Linked DNA regions of Drosophila melanogaster. The protein of the gene in region 2 interacts with the protein of the main gene of each other region in a pairwise test. Each region holds a gene or a part of one and is shown on either strand. Other genes may lie near its edges.

Evidence for each region. Proteins that work in one complex are often made in the same cells at the same time.
Region 1: the proteins of Pdhb (region 2) and Pep interact in a two-hybrid assay, tested with the Drosophila melanogaster proteins (one large-scale study listed by BioGRID).

Annotation. Positions count from the first base shown.
Region 1 is NT_037436.4:17,639,014-17,646,781, reverse strand, and holds the start of Pep (protein on ecdysone puffs), read left to right. Parts: upstream 1-1,745; 5' UTR 1,746-1,891; intron 1,892-2,702; 5' UTR 2,703-2,795; coding exon 2,796-2,803; intron 2,804-3,055; coding exon 3,056-3,419; intron 3,420-5,526; coding exon 5,527-5,756; intron 5,757-6,728; coding exon 6,729-7,768. Other genes in the region: CG43085 (uncharacterized protein), read left to right, coding at 342-401, 461-1,168. UniProt on the Drosophila melanogaster protein: May play a role in the process of early and late gene activation, or possibly in RNA processing, for a defined set of developmentally regulated loci.
Region 2 is NT_033777.3:29,111,200-29,116,697, reverse strand, and holds Pdhb (pyruvate dehydrogenase E1 beta subunit), read right to left. Parts: upstream 3,628-5,498; 5' UTR 3,558-3,627; exon of another isoform or gene 3,490-3,557; 5' UTR 3,441-3,489; coding exon 3,249-3,440; intron 2,705-3,248; coding exon 2,543-2,704; intron 2,270-2,542; coding exon of another isoform or gene 1,802-2,269; exon of another isoform or gene 1,752-1,801; intron 1,605-1,751; coding exon 1,193-1,604; intron 1,132-1,192; coding exon 1,012-1,131; intron 951-1,011; coding exon 739-950; 3' UTR 501-738; downstream 1-500. Other genes in the region: Atg14 (Autophagy-related 14), read right to left, coding at 1-230; alpha-Man-Ib (alpha-Mannosidase class I b), read left to right, coding at 4,201-4,287, 4,385-4,657, 4,826-5,339, 5,423-5,498. UniProt on the Drosophila melanogaster protein: The pyruvate dehydrogenase complex catalyzes the overall conversion of pyruvate to acetyl-CoA and CO(2). Might play a role in regulating synapse structure formation at neuromuscular junctions. Might play a role in maintenance of mitochondrial morphology.

The sequences.
Region 1 (7,768 bases), on a different chromosome or scaffold from region 2:
AACAATTACCAAAGTTTACAAAGGAAAGCAATAATTGTAGTATGCTTATATTTCATCGGAATATTGATAAGAAACTCATGTATTGTCAGAACCGTATTCTTTTGTATTTTAATAATTACCTCAATTTATTTTATTTAAGGCAGTTACCCGCAAAACACTCCGCAAAACCAAAATTTCAGACATTCTAATTCATCCCAAAGGTCACAAGAAAGGTACTCAATGTATGTACACATGTACGTAGCTTGATAACAGATTTGCTGATGGGTCTCATTTTGCGACGATGAGTATAAAAGGCCTTTTTCTGAGCAAACATAATTCAGTGTTCATTGTTCGTCGGTAAGATGAAGGCAGTTACTTCAAGAGTGTTGGGTTCGATCCTAGTGTTATTATTGATACATTTAGTAAGTTTGAACTGGGTCATTATTTTGTATATACTAAATATTTCTTATTCTTTTAACAGACATCAGCAAAAGAAGCGGAGGTTCACTTAACAAATCCTCCAACAGAATGCAGACTGGTGTGTAATCCAGGGTATCATATCGTGGTTAAAAAGGGTACCTTGTATCATAATGGTAGGAAGCTTGACGATAATGCACGGTATGCGCCGAAGATGGCGTGTGATTTGGAGAACAGTTGCAACTTTAAATTTACGCCACAAACATTAAGTTACATGAATACAGCAATTAATGTAGGCACACAACTAACTATTAATTACGACTGCAAGCGGGATAACTTCCAAGGAGATCCGAGAAGGATAACAGATTATACGAAAACGCAAGGATGTCCGCAAGACTCTTTTGTTCAGAAACACGTCGCATATTTTAACGATGAAAATATTGCTCCCAAGAGGGATACACCTGTCGCGCAAAGGGAAAGGGAAATGATTGCCATGGGCGTATGTGCTCAGGTCAAACGTTTTAGGCAAAACAACCCAAGAACGCCCATCGATCCACATCTTGGCACAGTGTACTTGATATTTGACAATAGAACAAGTAAAAATGATTTCATGCCGAGTCCTGATGTTAGAAAGTGCCAACTTAAGCCCAATTCTCTGACCAAGACATACAAGTATGATTGCGAGAGGAAAGCGGATAAATGGACATGTACTTTTGCCAGCAAGGGAAGGGACTTGGCCATAAATGACAAGATTACAAGTCACTTAGGATGATTATCATTTTATTGTATAGGACTCAAGGCTCAAATGGGAATGCAAGACACAGCGGACTAATTTTATTCCAAACGAAATTTTAAATATACATATATGCAATTGATCAAATTCGTAATAAAAATATGAATAAAACGATAATTTGTTCATTTCTTTTATCGCGATGGAATATAGCTCTATATATCCGTTGTTATACGCTAATAATATTATGTTCTATGATCGAAGTTTTAACGCTTTTTGTGTTTTACAGAAAAACGTTTTATGTCTAAAAGCGCATTTTTCACTTAAAGGATCCGAGAAATTTTAAAAGTGGCTTTATGATAGAATTGTATAAGAGTTTATGCAAGGATTACAAGCGGAAATTCTTTTGAAAAACATTTCTTTATTTAAAGCTAACATAACTAAGACACAAATTTTGAAAATATTACGGTCTATACCAAAAAAATATCGATATTTTGTCCTTATTAGCTTATCGCACTGCCATCTAGATCTGGAAAAAATATCTATGTGCTTCTTTTCGATAGTGATGAAAATTACTTTTATCGATACTTCGCGCACGACCATCTCTAGCGCAGCGTCAGACGTGATTCGATTTTCTTTCGTCGTTCGGATCGGAGCGTAATATTGGATAGGCGGAGTGTTTAGACAAGGGCGGCCATCTTTCTGAAGTGAGGAAAACTGTAGTCCAAGTAGTCCAGTCATTTTGACAAATCGCCGTTGCAACACGTAAGTTTCTAACTAATTTCACAGTTTGCGCTGCGCCTCTGTCCTTTACTTGTGTAGGCTAACTGAAAACTGGTGCGTATGTATGTATCTGTTGGCGAAAATTTTACTTTTTCACTTGCTACCCGGGCGTCTGAAAATAGTAATTATTGATTTTCCTGGGGCTCCTTGCGTGTATTTGTGCATTAAGTAATGTGATAATGAGGTAACTGCTTTTTTACGAGGCCTTGATTGTGGATTATCGTCGTAAGCGTTATTTATTTGCATTCCAGAGCTTAGACTAATGCGTATAGTATACGTCATTGGTGCAAAACATGTTTTTATCGCGATTAAATGGGTCTTTGGCTTTTTTTTTCCTATTCTGTACTCTAACTTTCCCTCCCTTTCGCACTCATACGGCCGGCCGGCTTTCTGGCTGAATCAATTACTTATACACACTCAGCGTCTGGGCCGCCATCTTTTTTCCACTCGCAGTGATAAATTTTAGGTGTTTTTTGTTACCTTCATTTAAATTGGCCAAAAGGCGTGAATGTGTTGGTGTCGCACAAACCAGTTTTACATGTGATTAATGTAAACTGCTGACTGTAGCGCCAAATTGTTCCATTTCTTTTCCTTTTCCCCTATCTCTTTGCGTGTATGTGTGTGTAAGTGGTGTGTGTATACGCACGCTGGCTTGTTTTACGGTTTTTGATGCGGTTCCATAATAACTACCCGTAGATGTGGATAAAGAGATCTGGCGATTACTAACCCAAATTAATGAATTCCCGCTTGCATCTCAACATTTGTTTTGTTCTTTGTGCCGTTTTACTTTCAGCTTGTTTAAATAATTTCCTCGCTTAAACACAAACCCTACATTACACATCCCATAAACACTCCCAAAAACAGCAAAAAAAAACCCATCAAAATTATGGTCAGGTATGCTGCACATCAACCCCGAATATTCGAAATTATTTATGTATCCCTAGTTCCCAATTCCAACGTGATTAATTATAAAATTATATTTTTCCAATATTGTCGATATGTTCTTGTTTAAAAATTGTCAGCTTATGTAGAATAATATATCTTAAACTGCTTGGAAAATTATAATTTTATTGAATAAATTTGTCCCCCTACCGCTTCGAAAGAAAGTTATAGTTATACTGATAAGTGAATCATGTCTTTTTGCAGCGTAAAGGTCAACGGAAATCCGCAGAATCGTTTAGTGAATAACGCAAAGGTCAACGGCAACATGGCTTTCCGTGGTAACCAGAACCGCAACCGCAATTTTGGAGGTGGCAACAACAACTATGGTGGACCCATGGGCGCCAACCGCATGGGCGGTATGAACATGTCGCCTTGGGAATCGCAGAATCCCGGCGGCGGACAGTTTGGTAACAACATGCGACAGGGTGGCGGTCAGATGAACGCCCAGGCCATCAACTTGGCCAACAATCTGCTGAACAATCTGTTCAGGAACCAGAATCCACCATCGCTTCTCGACTTGCCCCGCGGCGGCGGTGGCATGGGAAATCGCAACCAACGTGGTGGCCCGGTATGTACAAAAGTTTACTTATTCTCGAATTAGTTGACAATGCCAACCGAATGAATTGTTATACTTACCTATGTTGTTATTATTTATGGGTTCGTGAACTGCGAATCGTATTTCTGTTGTGGAGTGTCATATGTTGAAATAATTTAAAAAATTCTACTAAACATGTAGAATTCAATTCAAAGCACATAGTAATCTTAATATTTTGTCTGTTTACTTTTGTTGTACTCAATATAAACTCAACTTAGGATGCCTAAATCGTATAAACATTTTGTAATTACGTGTATACCTTTTGGTAATATACTTGCTCTCCACAGCAGAACCTTTTATTTTGTGTTTTACCCTTAGTTAGATCGTAATATTGCTAAATGTAGCTAATGCTTTTCCTTTAAAAGATAAATCAAAATGATCTTAAACCTAATCTTAGCTTGTAGTTTACTAAACTAAACCGACGACTGAAAAATAACGAAAACCAGCGAAAAGAATATTGAAAAAAGTAATAAGAACTTTGTGCAGTGTAGGATGTAAGGTTGTCAAACATTAGGATTAATGTGGTATTAGGAGGATTTCGATAAAAACGCATTTATTCCATTTAAAATGCAATGCTTTTTTGTTTCGTAGAAACTGCACAAACGAATAAGAACCTGATTATTACACCGAAAATAAGAAATGACAATTTTATAAAATAATACACACGTATTGATAGCGAAATGTACCAATTAAAACATGTACCGCCAACACTTGTTCCACTTAACGATGAAAAGAGTATGATGATGATCTCCATATGTCAAGATTGAATCATAAGTAATTTATATGCAATATTTTCTTACTAGTTGTACTTAAGCATTTAATTACATTTTTACCATATTTATAATTCGATTAATTAATTTCCGAAGTTCCATTGCCAAGTAAAAGAAACTTTCTTGGCCGAACTCAATTTGCCACAACGCTTTTCTAATTTATCAATTATCTATTTTTATTCTCTCTTCCAAAACCAAACAATGCCAAACTCAAAAATTCGATGCTTTTCAATACACCTCCAAATATCGAATATCGAAACCGCATCGTCTTGCATATTTCGAATAATGCATTCCATATTGTTGTTGCTGCTCCGGCATATATACTTGCTGTTGTTGTTGTTGCTGCCGCCGCTGCTGTCGTTGTGGTTGTTGTTGTCGTTGTCGCTGTTGCGCGTTGTTGTTGCCGTCGATGATGACTCTTCCCATTTGCAATAATCCATTGCAATCAACAAAAATCTAATCCCCATTGACGGCCAACAATATTTTCGAATATCCAAATGAAATTGAATGCAAAACGCAACGCACACGCACTCAACACACACGCACACGCGATGCACACACACACGTTGTGGCCAATATGCGAATCTTCACCAACGATGCGATACTGTAAACTGTACGATGCTTCCCGTGCGACGCCACTGATTGATTGATTGATTGATTGATTGATTGACCGATTGCCAAATCGATTGACATTGATCGCCATGCAATCTTCTAATCTGCTCTGCTCTGAAACCGAAACTGATCCGATCTGGTACTGGTACTGCTTGATGGTGCAACATAATTACATCCAAAACCACAATATGAAATACCTATTAATATTTTATGTCTAATGCCAATTCATCGCCAAATTCTTCTTCGACGTTCCTGCCTCTGAAACTCAAAATCCGATTTCCATTTTTAAATGCCACTCGCCGCCACACGCCAACGAATTAATATATATATATGTTTATGCAATATATATCAACCTATCCCCGTCGACTGATTGGCCGCCGCAACTGCCCCGTCGATCTGACCAAAATCAATATATATATACCATGTGCTCCATGTACTTATGTATACTTTACTATATATCAACGATTTATTCCCACAATTATCTATAATGTGTTCAATCTGATCGCTCCGCCCCTCACACAATATTGTAAATGGCCAACCGCGCCATATTGTCTCCGATCTTTCGAAAATGCTTTGTATCATTAATGCCTCTGTTTGTAAATCAAAACGATATCAATTCACATATGCCCCATGTGCGCATTCCGAATTGTGCAAATATTTTAATGTCAATCCCAAATGATAAACGAAACAATGTATAGATGGTCAGTCGCGGCGGCGGTGCCGGCAATCGTCTCAATAACCGTCGTGGCCAGGGAGGTGGCTTCCAAAATCGTGGCGCCACTGGTAGTGGACCCAAGCCCCCGCCAAAGCAGGGCGGCGGCGGTATTCGCAAGCAAAATGCTTTTGATCGTGCCAAGAAACTTTTGGCTAAAAATGCCAACCAAAATAAAAAGAAGGAACCCACTCCTGGCGAAAAGAAAATCGAGAGGTAAGACTTACAACAACTTTTCCAAAACAAAACCAAAACCACAACAAAAAGTATAAATATTTTGCTGCCCAAAATCGAAAGGATTGATTTCTTTCACTAATATCAAAACAAATAACGAACTTAGCAGGGCGAATAACAACTTTTTACTTAAGTACTTAGGCATTCCAATTCTCTAATTGCGTTCCCTCATACATCTCTAAAAAAAAAAGTATATTTAATTAGAATTAGTTCTTCATTAGGGATAGTATATTTTTTGATGCTGTTTATAAAACTGTGTGTATGTGGGGCAACTTGTGCGGGGACTCATTTGGGTAGGGAATTGTAAATGTATAAATTTATGTGTTGAAACTACATACTATTCAAGTTCATACTAATTTTTTAAAATATAATTTACCTTAAAAGAAATTGTTTAAATATAATCTTTTCTTTCTTTGACTTTTGTGCACATTAAAAGTTTTAAAAATATTTTTAAAGTTAAAATGGAGAGAACTTTATAATTTAACTTCATATTCATGCTTAAATATTTAAATTAAATGTATAAGCTCACAATAATATTAAATTTCCTCTCCTTTTTTATTGATTTGGAAGAATATAAATTTTGAATAAATATATCATAAATGTAAGATTTCATAAGAAAAGAAACATGCTTCTACATACCTAATAATTTTGTTTAAAACATAATTTGTGGCATATTTCTTCTCCTTGCAAAGTCATCATTCTCACTATAGTAACGCATTTTTATCATAGCTAAAAACATTTATTATTGTATCACCTATCGCCACCTGTACTGTACGTATCATAAGTCTAAATTGCAGCGAGAACCACTATACTCCTATAATATAATAATCTCTTCCCAATAGCCAGACAACCAGACGAATTCCCGTCTATGAATTTCAAATTAGAAAACTAATGAATCTTTCTTTTTCTATTCCTTCTCGAACAAATCGAATGATCCATGATCAATTTTAATAGCCCTACCAAGGAGTCTCCATACGCTAGTGTGCCGAACGACATGTTCTACTGCCATCTGTGCAAGAAGCACATGTGGGATGCCAACTCTTTCGAGAACCACATCAAGGGCCGCACCCATCTGATGATGCGTGAGGGCATTGAGGAGAGCTATCGCCTCAAGGCCAACATGATCCGTCAGGAGGCTAAGATCGCAGAGCAGCTCAAGTCGATCGAGTTTGACCGCTTGAAGCGCATGGGCAAAAGCAAGCAGCGTCAGCTGGACTACTGCACCATGTGCGACCTGAACTTCCATGGTCACATCTCGACCCATCGCAAGTCGGAGGGACATTTGCAGCTGAAGAAGTTCTTGCACCCCAAGTGCATTGAGTGCAACAAGGAGTTCGCCACTCGCATTGACTACGATACTCATCTGCTGTCCGCCGAGCATCTGAAGAAGGCTGCCGAGAACAACACCAAGGTGGGTGAGCGCAAGCGCCAGACCTTGCCCATCAGCACCGAAGAAGAGGAGACCCGCGATTTGCGCCTGCCCCAGAAGCGCAAGAAGAAGCCGGTCAAGAAGGAGGGCGAAGCAGCCGATGGCGAGGCTAAGAAGGAGGGTGCCGGCGATGGCGAGGGTGCCGAAGGTGATGAAGCCGAGGGAGAAGAGGCCAAGGAGGGTGAGGAAGCTGCTGACGAGACAAAGGAGGGCGATGAGCTAAACGAGAGCCAAGAGGAAGAGGAAGTGGCACTGCCCGTGGACCCCGAGGACTGCATCCTTGACTTCAACGACGGCGATGAGATCCCCAGCGAGGTGGATACCCGCCTACCTAAGTACAACTGGCAGCGTGCTGTCGGTCCCGGTCTGATCTCCAAGCTGGAGTGCTATGAGTGCTCGGTGTGCAGCAAGTTCTTCGACACCGAGGTGACCGCCGAGATTCACTCCCGTACGGCGACTCATCACCGCAACTTCTTGAAGTTTATCAACGAGAAATCAAGCGATACCAAGATCGCACAGAAGCGCGCAGCTGCCGCCCTGGAGGAGAATGAGCGTAAGAAGCGCA
Region 2 (5,498 bases):
CTGCAGCTGTGGCACAGTGGGCACCGCATGTGGGCACCCATTCCCGTGGTGGCGTTCCTATCCTTGGCGTTCGCATCCTTCAACAGTTCCTTCGTCGCTGCCGTTGGCCTGCGCTTTGTTGTGTATCCTGCGACATCTGATTCCTCGTCCTCGCCGTTTGTGGAGGCGCTCGAGATGCGAAAGTTGTCGGGGGCCTTGCAGCTTTCGTCGGAGCTGGAGCTGTTTGCCATTACAGCCAAAGCATTGCAATTATTTGTTATGTTATATCTTTTGTTATTGTTAACTTTGCTATTATCGCTATCGATATGAGGACACCTATTGCTAAACGATAGGCTGATATCGAAAAAATAGATGTCGTCAGTGTTGGACAGCGTTCAATAGGAAAACGTTTTCATCGGTGCGCGCACTTTTTAAACTTCAATCATTAACGATAAGAATTATATATTTTTTATCTTCTGATATTATATCATTAACTATACCAAAATATAAGCACTCAAAATGTATTTATGTTTTCGTTTATTTTTCACAAGAGATTTCTATAACCAAATAATTAAACTAGAACGTCCGAAAACTAATCAAAACCCGAAAGCGGTAGTGCTTTATTTTCAGAACATTCAATTTCCAGTTCGGTGCACTATTATGGGGGCAGCTCGGTTAGACCAGAGGCAGCGTTTCGACTTGGACTATAAATTTAGTTAGCTGGGGGTTCCGATCGGGAGGCTGGCTAGTCCTGAGTTCCTACTTGTTGGCCGCAGCGGCCTTGCCCACTTTGCCACCCAAGACCTTAAGAGTCGCCTCCACGAGATCCTGAACGCGGGGCAGGGCGTGGGCCTCCAGCGTCTTGGCATAGGGCATGGGCACATCCACGCCGGCGCAGCGCCATACGGGGGCGTCCAGCTCGAAGAAGGTCTGGTCCTCCATTATGCGGGCGCAGATCTCAGCTCCAACGCCTAAGAGGGTAAAAATTTATAAATATCGCTAGGCTTTCAATTAGCTGAATTTCCCACTCACCGTGTTGGGGCCAGCCGTTCTCCACGGTCACCAGATGGTGGGTCTTTCGTACAGAGGCGAAGATGGTCGCCGTGTCCAGAGGACGAATGGAGCGCAGGTTAATGACCTCAGCCTCAATACCTAAACATATAAGAGAAGGTTAGCTACTTTTCGCGTCATTCAAAGTAAAACAGTGCCGTACCCTTCTTGGCCAGCTCGGCAGCTGCCAGAAGCGATGTCTCCACCGCCTTGGAATGCGCCACCAGGGTAATGTCCTTGCCCGGCCGCATTACCTTGGCCTTGCCGATGGGCACCAAGAAGTCCTTGTCGGCCACGTTATCGGCCACAGGGAATGCCGTGCCATAGACCAGCTCATTCTCCAGGAAGACCACTGGATCGGGATCACGGATTGCGGACTTCAACAGTCCGCGGGCATCCTCGGCATCGTATGGCGAAAGGACCTTCAGGCCGGGGCAGTGGGCGTACCAGGCGGCGAAGCACTGAGAGTGCTGGGCGGCAACACCGGAAGCGGCTCCATTGGGACCACGGAACACAATGGGCACATTGACGGCACCGGCAGACATGTAGAAGGTCTTGGCCGCCGAGTTGATGATCTAAGATTTGAAATTTTAAAGGGATATATTTTAGCAATCCATATTATTATGAATGTGTAATATGACTTAGAAATAATAAAGTGAAAAATGAATGAAAATAATGCTCAGTGTGGATGCCTGTTCCATCAAACTGCAAATTCGCCAATTCAAGTTAATACGCTTTATTTGATGCACTCCTTTCTGTTCCGTCTTGATCTTTACTTAATGCCTAGTTTCTGCTTAATGATAAATGCCGGCAGGCGGCGTCCCTTCCAGAAACGCGGCAGCGGCGTCTCGTTGGCCTGCCGCAGGATCTCCGCCACGTGCTGCTCCGCACTGAATGCCTCCGCCTGCTTGATCTGGGATATCAGCTTTGCTTGGAAGGCCTTCTCTTTGCGCATCTCGCGGCGCTGGCGCACCTTGGCCCACTCGAACTTCATCTTGCGACGCAGCTTCTTTAGCTTGTGCTTCTTCATCTTGCGCCGCCGAATGACGATGAGGCGGGCCGCCTCCATCTTGTCCGACTTGCTCTTGTCCAGCGGCGGCGCAATCACCTCGCCGACTCGATCTCTGTGCAGGATGTCGTTGATCTCATTCAGCCAAGTTGAGCGTGGACTTTCAATTATGAGGCTTATTGGCAGAGGGCGATCACCGACTGGCGGCTTGGCGCAATCGAGTATCTTTGCCTGCACATAATCGGATAATATGGGTGGGGATTAGTGAGGTCCGATCTATGACTTGGGGCAGGAGCTAATCCACCCATATTATCCCATTAAGCGCCGCTGCATATTGCACTTGAATTGGTCTATTTGCTAGCTGTTGGAGTTGTGAGGCATTTGTATTGGATTGTCGTGTTCTTTCTTTTGGTTTACGTTTTGTTGGCAATGAGATAATATGAGTAGTTAGCCTACTGCTGGAGTGCGGGGAGTGGTTCTTAGGACAAGGATGAGGCAACTCACGTGATCGATGGCCTGCATGGAGAAGTTCCAGGTCATGAACTCGCACACGGGACGCAGACCGGCCATGGCAGCGCCAACAGCGATGCCGGCAAAGCCCATCTCTGTGATTGGCGTGTCGATGACGCGCTTGTCGCCGTACTTCTTCCACAGTCCACGGGAAACCTAAAAAGGGCATTAAATGATTAATAGAATGTTAGGATACCAGAAAAATATGTAGGGCTTATTCAGGATGGGAACCTTTTATCTGTTTGTAAAACTTTCCAAGCTGATAACTCATTAACTAAGATTTCTTCAGGAAATACCATTATTCTAACAGGTAATTGTATTGTACTTTGCGTGTCCTATCTAGTTGTTACACCAGTAGCCACAATCATAGTTTAAATGAATCTAATAGGATAGAATTGCTAACGCCGGTTATCAATCCACCTCAAATGGGTAAACAAATCGTTGTTTTATGGGCCAATCTATATAATCAGCAGACAGTCGGTCACACATATTCTGCGTGACCTTGCCCACTCCGATCACGCATTCGGATTCGCGTCGACCTGTTCGGAATCACTATCAGTAGTTACATATAGCACGCATATATCACCCCGCTGACCACCAACTTCCCCCATCCCGGCCACCTGCATCAGCTGTCGTCGTCGCAACCGCCTGCTTGCTGTTTACGTAATCGCGCAGGGGCAGGAAAAGTCGCAGATCTCACCTTGTAAGCACCGTCGTACTGGGCCACCTCCTCGCCCAGGATGAAGACGCGGTCGTCGCGGGCCAGCTCATCGTCCAATGCGCTGTTGAGGGCATCTCGCACGGTCATCTGCTTGGCCGCCAGGGCCTTCTGGCTGGTGGAGAACGCTCGCTGGGCGGAGCTGGCCGCCTGGATGAGTCGGGTTCGGAGCATCGTCGGTTTGCGGTTCGCTTTCCTATGGGTCTATCGCTATCGTTGCCGGCTGTAGGTGTTATTTTTTGGGTTTTAAGTGCTATTATCTAACTAAAAATGGGCTATGGGTTTACGCACCGACTTCCGTCGAAATTTTGATGTGAAAATGGGATGTGACCAGATGTGACCACTTTAATGCCGTATTGTGGGCACACTTGGAGCTTACCAGGGCTGCCAAATAAATCACTGTTAAGTGGGACTAGTGTTGGCCACTCTAGATTTGGCTAAATTCATACTGTGTTAGCTGGATTTTCGAAAAAATTAGCCACTTCGTATTAATATATATTCTTTAGAAAAATTCTTTTATAAAGTAGTGATAATATCTAAAATATAATTTAATTTGCTTTTTTTTTATTTAAGAGGTATTTCAAAAGTAAATGATTGCTAGCCCCATCTTTAGTTTTGGCCGGACTGTTGAAGAACAAGTTGGCAGCATTGCAGCTCAAAAATGCAGCTCTCGTGAAATAATTTTAGAATTTCTTATTTGTAATTTTGCATAGTGTGGGCCAGAACTAGCATATATAAATTAATGCACTGGCACGTATAGAGATGATTAAGGCATAAAAGAGGTAGTAGTTGGACCAACCTTGGTTAGTTAGCTCCGATTCCTCCGCGGCCAGCGGCGCACAGCAATCGATTTTTATTCGAGGCGAATGCTGTGGAATTTCCCATCCAACTTTCCCACACTCTGAATTCCGGCGGCGGCATTTAGTGAAACACTATGAAGGACGGCGGTCACATAACGCTCACACTCCCGCCGGGATCAGCGGCGACGACGGACGAGCGGGGCAGGAAGAGCCTGCGTCGGGTAGGTAGCAACCTGGCAGAAGTCCAGTTGCTGGGGTCCTGGGACATCCTCAAGAAACCCAGAACTTATAAGTACGATCTTTTGTCTCACGGTTCAGGCTTGGAATCAGCTACCGCGTTGTCAGCGCAATCTCATTATTCTGGGCATCACCGGATTCTGCGTGACAGTGTTGCTCTGCCTAAGTGGCGATCAGCTGCTGGCTGCCAGCTTAAAGGATGTGGACACCAAGGCCGAGGTGGCAGCATATCAAATGCCCCTGCCCAATCCGCACCATCATCCGGGGGTGGATAAGGATGTGCCCAAAGACACTGCTGCGGTACCTGTTCCGGCCGATAAGAGAGCACCCCGGGTGGAGGCGGTTAGTGATAAGGTAAGTAGGCCCCCCACTTAATTGATAAGTGCCTAAGTGGCTGGAGTTGTTTGCCTATTAAGATAGCATGCGTATCAATACGATTGACTATTGGTGTTTGATTTATTGCCCACGCAGCACACTTCCAGTAAAATCTATTAATGATATCTCAATATCAATCAATTTCAGTTTAATGAGCTAGTTGCCTATGGAGAAGCGAACTCAGCGGAGAACGTGGCCCGTCTGCCGGAGACGGTGGCTGCTGAAGGACTTCCCCAGGCCTCGGCCATGGCCGTGGCCTTGCCTCCCCCCGATAGTAACAAGGAGCAGGACATCGGTGGAATCGACATCCTAAACAATGTAGAGGAGCCCGTCGCCCAGGATCCAGCAGAGCCGCTTAGCGAGGGCGAGCAGCTTGAGCAAGCCATCAAGAACCCACTCACTCTGGGCGGCGTTAGCTTCAAAGAGCATCTCAAAAAGATCAAGCCCATTCTGGCCAAGGGCCAGCACTTCCATGGCGCCACCAACGAAAGACAGTCGGCTGTTGTAGCCGCCTTCAAGCACTCCTGGGCTGGCTACAAGAAGTATGCCTGGGGCCACGACAACCTGAAGCCCATCTCCCAGTACTCCCACGAGTGGTTCGGTCTGGGACTAACCATTGTTGACTCATTGGATACCATGTACATAATGGGACTGGATGATGGTAAGTTGCCTATATCCTAATGTGCACAAAATCATTAGTTTATGGAAATACTTTCCTTATTTTTCTCAATAACATCTACACAGAATTCAAGGAAGGACGCGACTGGGTAGAGCAATCACTGCGCTTTGATACCAAGCGCGATGTAAACCTATTCGAGGT